Callithrix jacchus: one gene and its partners. The protein of the gene in region 1 interacts with the protein of each later gene in a biochemical or structural test. Links are inferred from orthologs where the notes say so. Each region holds a gene or a part of one and is shown in the gene's direction. Other genes may lie near its edges. The genes, in order: FGF2, FGFBP1 and PTX3.

Evidence for each region.
Region 2: the proteins of FGF2 (region 1) and FGFBP1 form a complex in vitro, tested with the Homo sapiens proteins (2 studies listed by BioGRID and IntAct, with this or other methods). The link is inferred for Callithrix jacchus from reciprocal best matches to the Homo sapiens genes FGF2 and FGFBP1.
Region 3: the proteins of FGF2 (region 1) and PTX3 form a complex in vitro, tested with the Homo sapiens proteins (3 studies listed by BioGRID and IntAct, with this or other methods). The link is inferred for Callithrix jacchus from reciprocal best matches to the Homo sapiens genes FGF2 and PTX3.

Annotation. Positions count from the first base shown.
Region 1 is NC_133504.1:74,751,739-74,755,386, reverse strand, and holds part of FGF2 (fibroblast growth factor 2), read left to right. Parts: intron 1-1,047; coding exon 1,048-1,151; intron 1,152-3,648. UniProt on the Homo sapiens protein: Acts as a ligand for FGFR1, FGFR2, FGFR3 and FGFR4. Also acts as an integrin ligand which is required for FGF2 signaling. Binds to integrin ITGAV:ITGB3.
Region 2 is NC_133504.1:177,943,791-177,947,969, forward strand, and holds FGFBP1 (fibroblast growth factor-binding protein 1), read left to right. Parts: upstream 1-1,342; 5' UTR 1,343-1,432; intron 1,433-2,973; 5' UTR 2,974-2,993; coding exon 2,994-3,698; 3' UTR 3,699-3,994; downstream 3,995-4,179.
Region 3 is NC_133518.1:28,117,373-28,121,808, reverse strand, and holds the start of PTX3 (pentraxin-related protein PTX3), read left to right. Parts: upstream 1-1,598; 5' UTR 1,599-1,682; coding exon 1,683-1,812; intron 1,813-2,261; coding exon 2,262-2,663; intron 2,664-4,436.

The DNA of each region.
Region 1 (3,648 bases):
ATAGGATATAGGATGACCTATGAAAATAGGTTGGACAAACATTTATCTTGCTTATCTTATGATAAGCAGAGTTCTGAGAAGTTTGGTAATAAAGAGTTAACTTGGCTTAATTAAGATTTTTCTAAATCATTTGATCCCAGAACCTGTTTTTTATGTAACATCTCTTAGCCAAAATACATTTGGAGGAATGTTGTTCTAGGCAGGAGAATGCTGCCTCTGAATAGCAAAATGATCTTTATTTTTATTTCAGTTAATTAGGTTATTATTTGTTCATATTATATTATCATAATCAAGTAATATCTTTGTTTTGTTTTTCTATAATCTGCTTAATATTGGTAATGTAGTATGACAAGTCATCTTTGTCAGGATCTTAGTTTATGAAAATCTTTCCTCACACTTATTTTATGAAAATCATTTGTTGTATAAGCAAATTAAGTATAAACATTTTGTGTTTCCACTAGATAAATATTTGCACACAAAAAATAGACATCAAAATCCGATATAGAAAGCTAAATGCATCTGTATTTCATTGAAGAGGAAGCTAGAAATAAGATGTATAGAAATCGAGGAAATACAGTTCAAATTATAACAGTGAACAATTAGATTGTGTTTTATTTGTGAAGAATTGGCAAATAAATTTTTAAAGAGTTTAAACAAAGGAGTAGCGTGGGAATTCTCACATGGTCTACACTTTTATGTACCCTTAAAATATGTTCACTTAAAAAAAGGTAAACAGTTAACAGGGCCAATTGAAAGCTAATTGCCCAACCAAGGAAACAATTCTCCATCTATCCCCCTTCTCTGTTCACCCTGTGACATAGGTGACAAGGGACTGACAAGGCACTGGTGCCCTAGTAGTTCTGCATCTCGTCGTCTCTCATACAGTTTAGTTGACATCTGCTCCCTGTTGCCTATACTCCCAACCTCACCAATCCTCCAAAGTGGATTAGTTGTTGCTCAGGCGTGTTTTGTCTTCATATTGTATAAATGTTATAGAGAAGACTTTTTCCTTTGTGGTGCTACAAAAATAATTTTTTCCTGTTACAGTCAAACTGCAACTTCAAGCAGAAGAGAGAGGAGTTGTGTCTATCAAAGGAGTGTGTGCTAACCGCTACCTTGCCATGAAGGAAGATGGAAGATTACTGGCTTCTGTAAGCATACTTTCTGTTTTCACAGGTTTTTTGTTAGGTTTTATTGCAGTTAATTTACAAGCATTGGTGTTTATCAAATCTTTATAAAGTATTTTACATGTATCATCTTCATAGTCACACTGTAAAATGGTGAGTATCTATTTCACAGATGCAAGAACTGCTGTTCTAAGGAGTAAGTAAAGTAAGAAAATAGCTCATATAAAGTAGAGACTGGATTGGGCTGGGGACAGTCATGAACTCGAAATCACTGCTTTTGCTCTGCAAAACTATTAAACTATAATTTTTAAAAGTTTTCCTTCTATTGTGTAATTGAAGATCAGTGGGAATAGATGTATAAAATTTTGGTTATCAGTTTTTAAATTTCTTCTTTAGAATGTGACATACAAAACACTTGCAGTGTAGAACATTAGTTGAGAATGTAGACTTTTCACCTGGTACAGATGCTGACTCTGCCACTTATGAGATGTGTGTTCTTAGGCAAATTATTCTGAGTTAGTTCCCTTACCTGTAAAATGGAAACAATAATGATCCTATCTCATTGGGATTTTATAATTTAGATACAACACAACAAGCATCCAGATCAGCATTTGACACATAATAGATCCTGAAAATTGTTATTTCCTCCTCACGTTACTTCTCATATATAGATATGTCAAGAGAGGGACTTTTTTTTTTAAATGAGATGGAGTCTCACTCCATCGTGCAGGCTGGAGTGCAGTGGCGCTATCTTGGGTCACTGCATCCTTTGCCTCATGGGTTCAAGCAATTCTGCCTCGGCCTCCCAAATAGCTAGGATTACAGGAGTACACCATCACACCTGGATTTTTTTTTTTTTTTTTTGTATTTTTTAGTAGAGACAGGGTTTCACGATGTTGGCCAGGCTGGTCTTGAACTCCTGAGCTCAGGTGATCCACCTGCCTCGGCCCCACCAAAGGGCTGGGATTACAGGTGTGAGCCACAGTGCCTGGCTGTGGAGAGGGACTTTTCTTTTTTACATTTCATCACAGCTTGTCAGAGGTACTAGTCCTGTCTAGTATTCTGTCCACTATTACAGACTCACTGTCAGCTTCACCATTATTATTAAAGATGGGATTGCTTATCTGTTGAGCATACAGTGTATGAAGAATGGTGCAGGAAAATAAAGAAATACAAAAGACACAGATCTTATTCCTATCTCCTTGAGGGAGTAAATAGGACATATATATAAATGTGTGTGTGTGTGTGTGTGTGTGTGTGTGTGTGTGTCACAGCTCTTATAGCAATGCCACTGGCCAGTTATAGCCTTTCTATATAACCTCCCCAAAGAAAGGATCTAATAGTATCAGAAATTGTGGTATTTTGAGCTGTACAAATAGTTTTTGAAATTTCTTCTGAATGAAGACCTTTGGATTTCTAAAAATACCAAAACAAGACTTAAAAAGAAAAAGAATATTTCAACCATCCCAATTTTAGACTGATTATAAGACAAAGATATACTTATGTTGATATTATCAGTTTATGTGATTTTTGCAGGATAAATCACAAATTTGAGTGTAGTGGCTCTCAATTTTTGGGGGAGGTAGTTGAATAAATTTTAGAATCATCTTTAAGAACAGCCACTACTTATTGAGTGTAAGTGTGCCAGATGCTATAGTAGGCATCAGGCTTATAAAATTGAATATCAGATGGTCTCTGCCCTTAATGAGTGACAATCCAGGGGAGACAGAAGTATAAATAAGTATTTATAATAAGGTATAAGGGTTTTGATATGCTACTTCTATATTTTACATACATGCATAGTGTTATAGGAAAAGATAAGTATTATGATAGAGGAAGCAATACAGAAAAGGAGGTGATTAAATTTGTCTAGAATTGGGGGAGATGACCTACAAGTAGGATTTTAGATGATATAGAGGAGGAAGGAGTTCAGCAGGCAGTCATGGGGCAGAAGAAATAGAGATGAAGATATAGATAATTGTAGGACATGGGACATGCAAAGGTGTGGATGCAAAAATCTACTTGATGCATCTCTATAATTACAAGTAATTAATGAATGCTGGAATGTACAGTGCAATGGAATAACAAGGCAGAAGGGAAGAGAGAGAAAACCAGGAAGGTAGACTGCCTGCTGAATCTCCTGAAGGGCTTTACACATCATGCTGACTATAAGCAGTGGAGAGCCAAGAAGAGTTTTAAGAGACCCAGTTAGATTTAAATTTGAGAAAGATCATCCAGGCAGAAGTATAGAGAATAGATTTAAAGGGGCCAAGACTGGTGGAGAGAGATCAGTTAGAGGGTCACTGTCATAGTCCAGGCAAGTGATGTTCGGATCCTGGCAATACCAGTGGGTTATAGAGGACTGAGGAAAGTGTTAGCACTTGTGATTGATTAGATTTAGGAGTAAAGTTGAAGGAAAAGTCAAAGATGGCTTTTAGGTTTCTGGTTTGGGTGAGAAGGTAGATGCTAATGGGGAAGGAAGAAACAGCAGGGTTTGGGAAAAGGTAGTAAGTTCAAATTT
Region 2 (4,179 bases), about 100 Mb from region 1:
AGGCTCCACGTCCTCTGCAGTCTCTCCAGAGCCACTGGAAAAGGAGCTTGTTTCCTAAGCTCATGGAGATGTGAAGAAAGCTTGGGGAAACAGCTTCAGCACAGAGCCTTGCACGATGTAAGCTCATTGGAGGAAGTATATGTTTCTCCCCGTGGACATCCACAACAGTGTGGGTGGCGTAGGGAGGATCAGGAGCCAGTGACACCAACAGAGAGGGGCTGGCATTGGAGTCTGGCCTTGAAGGATGAGGTGGTGTGTGCCAGGTGGAGAGGCACGGGAATGGGATCCCAAGGGCAGGGAACAGCAGAGGCAAAGGCAGGAAGTGGGCAAGGGCATGGAATGTCTGCAAATGGTGGGACAGGGTTTCACTGTGGCCAGATTGCAGTGTGTGTGTGCGCATGTGTGTGTTTGTATCTCTGTGTATGTGTCAGTGTTGCTGTGTGTGTCTGTGTGTGTGATTCTGTGTGTGTATGCTGATGAGTATGAGTGTGCATGTGTCTATGTGTCAGTGTGTGGGTTTCTGTGTGTCTATGAGTGTGTTTCAGTGTGTGTCTTTGAGTGTATGTCAGTGTGTTTGTGTAAGTCTTTGTAGGTGTGTCAGTATCTATGTGTATGTGTCTGGGTGTGTGTACCTGGAAATGAGTTTGGGATGGCAGGATGAGCCAAGGATGCAACTGCCCCACAGCCTGCTCTGATGCTGTGCTGCTGAGTCTAGCAGGGAAAGAGCAAAGCAGATGCTGGAAAGGGAGTCACATGAAGGGAAGGCCCTGGGAGCCAGCAAAATGATTCTGCTCTACTTTATGATAATAGCTTAGCCCAGTAAAAATTCCCAGATTCTACCAGGCTCTGAGAGGCTAGTAAAGAGGGAATTTTTAACATAAATTTCCCTACTGCTAGAATTAGGAAATCCTCTGTTTATGTAGTAACTTCAGATGCTAAAAGGAACTCAGACACTAAGAAGACTTCGGCAACTTCAGTCACCCATTCAACAAATATTTGAGAGTGGCAGGCAGGAAGAGATCAGACCATGGATCTAGAGAATCTCACATTCAGTTATGAGATCCCCCTTTTCCTGACTCTGTGAACTTGGACAAGCTATTGCATATCTCCAGTTATGTATTACTAAGTAAAAAAGTACTATTTTTACATTTTTTTTTACCCAGAGTAAACAGGGAAGAGCCTGGAGGAAGCATTTAATGGCGCAGGTCACCCGCCTTCTCCCTGGATTACATCCAGCACTTTCCCTGCAGGAATGGGCTCCCTCGGAGGGGCGTGGCTGACGAGCTGTGAGTAAGGTGTCAAAAGTGAGTGTTATAAAAACCCAGTCAGCCTGGCTCCTGTTGAATAGTCCACCCCCTTGCACACTACCTGGGACAGCTGCAGCCTGCAATTCACTCCTGGGATCGCACTGGATCTGTGTGCTCAGAACAAGGTAAGAGCCTTGCTCCTTTTAACAGCTTTATTACATGCCACCACTTCTCACTCCACTGAGGGCCTGGAGTTCCTTGGGCCTGCAACCCATCATGGGCAGGTTGGGGGCTGAGCCCCAGGGCTGTGAGAAATGGCTGGGTGTCAGTTGGGCATATGTAGCCTCCTCTTCACTATTTATTGCTGTTCTCTGCCCTTTCATGATTGTATTTCTCTTCGTTAAGCCTAGAAGGAGGCCAACTTCTAGGGTAGAAATTAGATCAGGACCATTTTATAAAAATTCTGTGTTTTGTTTTAAATGGAGTGCAAATAATATAAATCATCTTATCATCATGCATTATATCAAACTAAATTGGCATCATTCATAGTTGTTTTTCTTATTCTTTGCCAATGTTTTTAAAGGGCAGAGTAAATGTGAAAAGCAAAAGGGATCAACCAGGGTGACGGAAAGGAATAGGGAGATTAATCTGGCTACCCATACCAGCTTTGAGACTTGCCCACTGTGAGATCCTGAGCAATTTATTTACCTGTCTGAGCCTTAAGAGTCAGAGCTGTCACCTGGGATAACATACTAATAGTTACCTAGAAGAGCTGTTGTGTGGACTTAACAAGGTGGGAATCAAACCCCGGACCAGTACGTAGCACACAAGAGGTGTCATACAGAAATGGACTTCTCTTCTGCTATTAAGCATGGGTTTTTATTGTACACATCATCAGATCTGTGCAATTCAGTGTGACATTGATGTTTATCCTATTGATTCAATGATTTCTCATGATCCTTGTCTTCAACATTGTAGTGTGAACTATCCAGTTGAAATTCACCTCTCTCCACCCTGGTTCACTTTGCCCAGGCAAATCAAACAACCTCCCCACCTCATGCCTTTCCTTTGGCTCTTACTTCCTCCCAAAAAGCTCCCCCACCCCCACAACCCCACCCACCACACCCAAACCCCAGGCATGTTCAACTCTGGCACAACGTCACCTTCCGTGATGGTTACCACATCCTTTCTCATTTTGGGCATTTGTGTCCTTATGGAGTTGTGAGATAGAAATCTAGTCCTTTGGAGCTGGAAAAGAGTTTGGAGCAATAGCTTGTTTCAGATTAAGTGGAGGCAGAGATGATGGGATAGATTCCCTAATTGACGCCATTTAAATTCTCTCAAAGAGTGACTTCTAAGCTCTCTCAAACCTGAGGTTTCTTGTTCATGGTGATATCTTCAACACCTACTCTGGTGCTCAATAAATGCTTGTTGAATGAGTGAATGAAAGAATGAGGAGTGAGCAAGTGCAGGAGTTGATGAGTGCATAAATGAGAAATGAGAATTCGTGAGGCTCCTAAGAGTGGTAGTTTTGTGACACTCAAAATTCAAGTCAAGTGGAAATGTGAGTAGACAGGCTGCTTGTCTGGTGCCTCTAGGAGCCAGAAGCATTCTTGGTCTACTCTGAAATCAGGCAGATACCTGTCAGGGTGGAGGGGGGCCAGTGTGTAGTCCTGCACAGCTGAACTGCTGCCTGCCACTGACTCACCTGCCTTTTGTCAAACAGGTGCCCGCCCAGCTGCAGCCATGAGGATCCATAGCCTCACCCTGCTCTCCTTCCTCCTACTGGCTGCTCAGGTGCTCCTGGTGGAGGGAAAAGAAAAAGTGAAGAATGGACTTCACAGCAAAGCAGTCTCAGAACAAAAGGACACTCTGGGCAACACCCAGATTAAGCAGAGAAGGAGGCCTGGGAACAAAGGCAAGTTTGTCACCAAAGACCAAGCCAGCTGCAGATGGGCTGTGACTGAGCAGGAGGAGGGCATCTCTCTCAAGGTTGAGTGCACTCGATTGGACCATGAATTTTCCTGTATCTTTGCTGGCAATCCAACCTCGTGCCTAAAGCTCAAGGACCAGAGAGTCTATTGGAAACAAATTACCCGGAGTCTGCGCTCACAGAAAGACATCTGTAAATATCCCAAGACAGCTGTGAAAACCAGAGTGTGCAGAGAGGATTTTCCGGAATCCAATCTTAAGCTAGTGAGCTCCACTCTACTTGGGAGCACAAAGCCCAGGAAGGAGAAAGCAGAGATGTCCTCCAGGGAGCACATCAAAGACAAAGAGAACACCCCCTCTAGCCCAGCAGTGACCCAGACCATGATCACCAAAGCTCCCGAGTGTATGGAGGACCCAGATGTGGCAAACCAGAGGAAGACTGCCCTGGACTTTTGTGGAGAGAGTTGGAGCTCTCTCTGCATGTTCTTCCTCAGAATGATTCAGGACACGTCATGCTAATGAGGTCAAAAGAGAATGGATTCCCTTAAGAGATGTCATGTCATAAGTTCCTCTGTATGCTATAAAGCTCTCTACAGTCCCCAATAGATAAGAACTTTTGTGCTAAGTGAGTGCAACAAAATATTTAAACAGATTTTGCAATTTTTGCTTTCGTGTTTTGGAATTTGCTTTATTTTTTTTAGATGTGATAAGTCTTTGAGCTGAATGAGCCAGAGTGATAATTTCAGTGCGAAGAACTTTCTGCTGAATTAACTAAGATAATAAAATTCTGGATGTTTTTCAGAAACACATTCAAACATTGCTTGGTTTCTCTGTGTCTGGTCCCAAATAAACTCATAAGGTAGTCCCCATATATTAATGGAAAAACAATCTAAAAAGCAACTTCCAGTTCCCGATCCTTCCCAAGTTCTCTTTCCAGAATCCTTTATGTTTTTATCTATCAGTCTGTGGTGTTTGGTGCTTGTTGAAGTGTAATAATTAG
Region 3 (4,436 bases), on another chromosome or scaffold:
CTGAACATAAAATTGTACATTTTGGATTATTTTCTTATATCTGTCCTCCAGTTCATTAATGTTCATTTCAGCTTTGCCTAATTTGCCACTTAATCCATGCCTTGAGCTTTTAAAAATTTTAATTGCCTTTTTTTTTTTAATTCTAGAAGTTATATTCGGTTCTTGAAAAAAATCACCTTGCCTTTTTCTCTTTGACAATGTCTTATTCTTTTCTTGTATGTTCAATTCCTTCCTTTAGAGCTTAAATAATTTTAAACATATTTATTTTCTAGCCTTTGGCTGATATTTCAAATAAATAAAATTATTGGGGAGAGGTGTCTAATTCTTTTTGGTCTCTGCTGATTTTCATTTATAGTGGTTTGCTTCCTCACATGTTCAAATATCATAATATCATTGTGATTTTTTTTTTTACAGTGGCGGACAGTATACATTGGAATTCCAAACATGTTTGAGGTCAGGCCCAAATTCACAAACTCAGAGGGACCTTGTAGAGTTCAAAGAGAGACATGGTTGCTTCCTACCTTTTTGTGTTAGGGCAGAGTAGAATGTACCTACTGAAATACAGTATTTAACCCTCTAGGTTCCTGGCTTTCATGAAGGTCTCTTCTAATTCTCCGCCTTTGAACTAAGCTTTGCTTCCACATGGTCATCAACATTTGGTGATTATAGAACTAATAACCCCTAACGGTCTTCATTCCTATTCCAGAGGGGCCCTAGCATCAGCTCATGGGATTGTTGGTTTTGGTTTCCTCTCTCTCTTTGGCTCCTGGATATTTCCCTTACTTTAATGGGAGCCCATCTGTATCTTTTAAGTTTTTATTAATAAATATCATGTGAACATAGACCTGTATATATTGTTAAAAGCAAAAATCTCTATGTTTACTTTTAAAATAGGATCCTTGCCTCTACACCTTGTAGAGTAATATAATGTCTGCATAATACCAAGTTATGAAAAAAAATACCTAAGTAGCTAAATAAGTATATTCCTTTTTTCCAGCTTCCACCCCACCCCCACCCCATTTAGGTTTACCCAGGTGTACGGTGTTTATCATTTAAAAAGTGTGTCTATAAAAGTATAGGTGCAACTACAACAGAAGGATTAAAGACAAGATAGCTTGGATTGGACTTGACTTCCAGAGCCATAACAATTCTCAATATGTTGGTTTATCTTGGAATCAGACCATTTTCATTTTTAACCTGTAAAACAGTGTACAAAGGAAACATGGAAAGTTTATGAAATAAGAACAGCTCACAGAAAATGCTGAAATGATGAATTCCTTCACTATCCTCTGAAATTACTCCCCCTACCCCTTCTTCATTTTCATTGCTATCAATTCATGTTACAACAGCTAATTCTCAGGAGAATAGTGGAAGCCCAGTTTCTCTCCTCTTTCCCCTCTGACTCTGAATCTGACTGCAGTGTAAACCTTTGTGGTTTACTATTGTGCAACTTCCACATTTCCCTCGCCCTCCCACCCAGCCCCCTCCCCCACCAAATCCAGGGGAACTCCCGTTACCACAGTGCCACCAGCATTACTCATTCATCCCCATTCAGGCTTTCCCCAGCATTTATTAAGGGCTCTCTCCTCCAGCCTCTCACTCTCATTCTCCTCTGCTCAACCTCAGTTCACTTGAGAGTCTCCTCCCACCAGCCGTGGAACGAACTTTGCGTCTCTCCAGCAATGCATCTCCTTGCGATTCTGTTTTGGGCTCTCTGGTCTGCGGTGTTGGCCGAAAACTCGGACGATTATGATCTCATGTATGTGAATTTGGACAACGAAATAGACAATGGACTCCATCCCACTGAGGACCGTAAGTTCACTTTAATGTTTCTCTGCTAACCCTGACTACATATCCACGTCTTGGTCTGAATAATACACATATATACTTTGTAGCCAGTGAGACGAGTTAAAATATTTAGTTTGTTTTGCCAAAGTGAGAAGCACTTGAAGAAAGAGGGAGGTTTCAAAGTTATTTCTGTAACGTACATAATGGGTTGAGTCATATAAAATCGCCGATATTTGACTGTTTTGAGCTACATAACCGGCGATTTCATAGGATACAACTTAATCTACACCTGAATGAATGATTTCTGTTGTTCTTGAGACATTTACGTGCTGTTTTTCGGAGGTGTTCTTAAAGGCAAGGGAGATGCCAGGGACGGGCTGCAACTTGGCACCACCGAGGGAGGTCAGCTTTTACAAAGCACATCCTAGGCAGGCCTGGGCGGGCTGGTAACGTGTGTGCATCCCGCGCTCTAGCCACGCCGTGCGACTGCCGTCAGGAGCACTCGGAATGGGACAAGCTCTTCATCATGCTGGAGAACTCGCAGATGAGAGAGGGCATGATGCTGCAAGCCACGGACGATGTCCTGCGGGGCGAGCTGCCGAGGCTGCGGGCGGAGCTAGGCCAGCTCGCGGGCAGCCTGGCGAGGCCGTGCGCGCCAGAAGCCCCAGGGGAGGCCAGGCTGGCCGGTGCTCTGGAGGAGCTGCTGCAGGCGAGCCGCGACGCGGGCCGCAGGCTGGCGCGCCTGGAGGGCGCGGAGGCGCGGCTCCCAGAGGAGGCGGTTCGCGCCCTGGCCGCGGTGCTGGAGGAGCTGCGGCAGACACGAGCGGAGCTGGGCGCGGTGCAGGGCTGGGCGGCCCGGAGCTGGCTGCCGGCAGGTAAGGAGGCTTGCTGGGCCGGGACCTCCCCCTGCGGCTTTGTTCCGGGAGCGCGCGTAACGGCGAGTCAAGCCAGGCAATCTTCTAGGGGAAGCTTTCATGGGAAACACACACACACACACACACCCCTATTTCTCCTTGCACGGCACAGAGCTCAGACACACCATACAAGGCAGGAAAATAGGCTTTAAAAAAGTATTCCTCAGTCCTAAGGAACTCTAAAGAAAATTGTGGAGGTAACCATCACAGTCTTGAAATAGCCTTCTAGGGCCCTGACACCCGTTCTGATCAGACGCTGCAGGAGGTCCACTGGCCGGTTATAACCGTGACCCATCTCGCCGCCCAGCTTCCCTCCGTTAGGGATTTTCACGTCTTCTAATTTTATCTTGCCTCTGTCTTTTGAGGAGCTCTGGTTTCCCGCACTATTTCGGGGCCCAGGCTAACGTTTAGGGATGTTTTCCAGCCCCTCAGCCGGCCCCTCCTCTCCGCCCATTCTCAGCAAGAAACTTGAGGCTGAATCTAATCTCCCGAAGGGTCAGCGGAATTCTCCAGGGATCCCCCAGCCTCCAGGGTTTGTGGAATAAGCGCGACAGGGGAGGTCAGAGGGTGTGCGGTTTGAGATTCAGCGTGGAACAGTCAAGTGTGGGAGCCAATCCGTGAAGGCGATCCCAGCTCCACCCCAGGGATTCAGAGAACTGGGCCAAACAGGAGAGAGACTGTTCAAACCAGAGGCAACTTCTCAAAGTATCCATGAATCTCTAAACAGACATGAGTTCCCAAAATAATACATTCTAAAGATGGTTAAAAGAAAGAAATCGAAGACTTGGAGCCTAGCAATACTCCTTTGTATGCCAAAACTTCTAAGAAATGGTGGTGTCACAATCAATTTGGATTATATTAGAAAATCAGTGTCCTAGGTAAGAAAATATAATCGCAATTTTCCTGAGAATTCTTCCCTATATTTCCAAGAAAACCACTTTTGCTGGATGGGGGGAGAGAAGAAGCATGTTTGAGGGCATGTTTCACTTAAAGTTAGAGAAATTATACCATATTTTCTAAATATTTGAGGAATGCTTATCAGTAAATATCAAATACTGCTTCAGAGGAGAAAAAAACATAAAATCAAAAGTACAGTAGATTCTCAATGTAATAGGAGAGAAATTAGAATTCTGCAGCCATTTTAATGAATGAAATGTGTTTTGCAAACAAAGTCATTGTACATATAATGCACCTGAAAAACTGAAGAATTACTCTATTTTTTAATCTTCATCTTTGCACATTAGTTAGAGCAGAAGAGGGATGCATTTCTGAATTTAAAATGTTAATCCTTATTACATCGATAATACTTTTACCAATATGCTTTGGTTTCTCTTTTCTTGGTCTCCAGCCAACTTGGCTCCTAACCATTCTGTTGTTAGCCTCCTAAGAACCTGGCTTTAATTTTGTTTGGTCTTCGATAATCAGAAAAACCTATTAGTTATCAGCCATTTCATAAGAGTTTCTGATACTTTAAAGAAGTATTAAGAGTCTTCTTTAAAGAAGGCCTTTAAGAGCCTCTTCTTTAAAGAAGGCTCTTACTACTTTAAAGAAAAGGTATTAAGATTCTATCAGAAACTATCTTATGAAATGGATATAACTTTTGGGTTATCACTGGTTCCCAAAAAGAAGCTCACCCAAAATAGCCAACATGTGGTTCATCTATCCATGAACTTAAGTAGCCAGTGTAGCCTAGAGAGAAGCTGAGTCTGAGATGCAATCAAGGAGTGCTTTGGA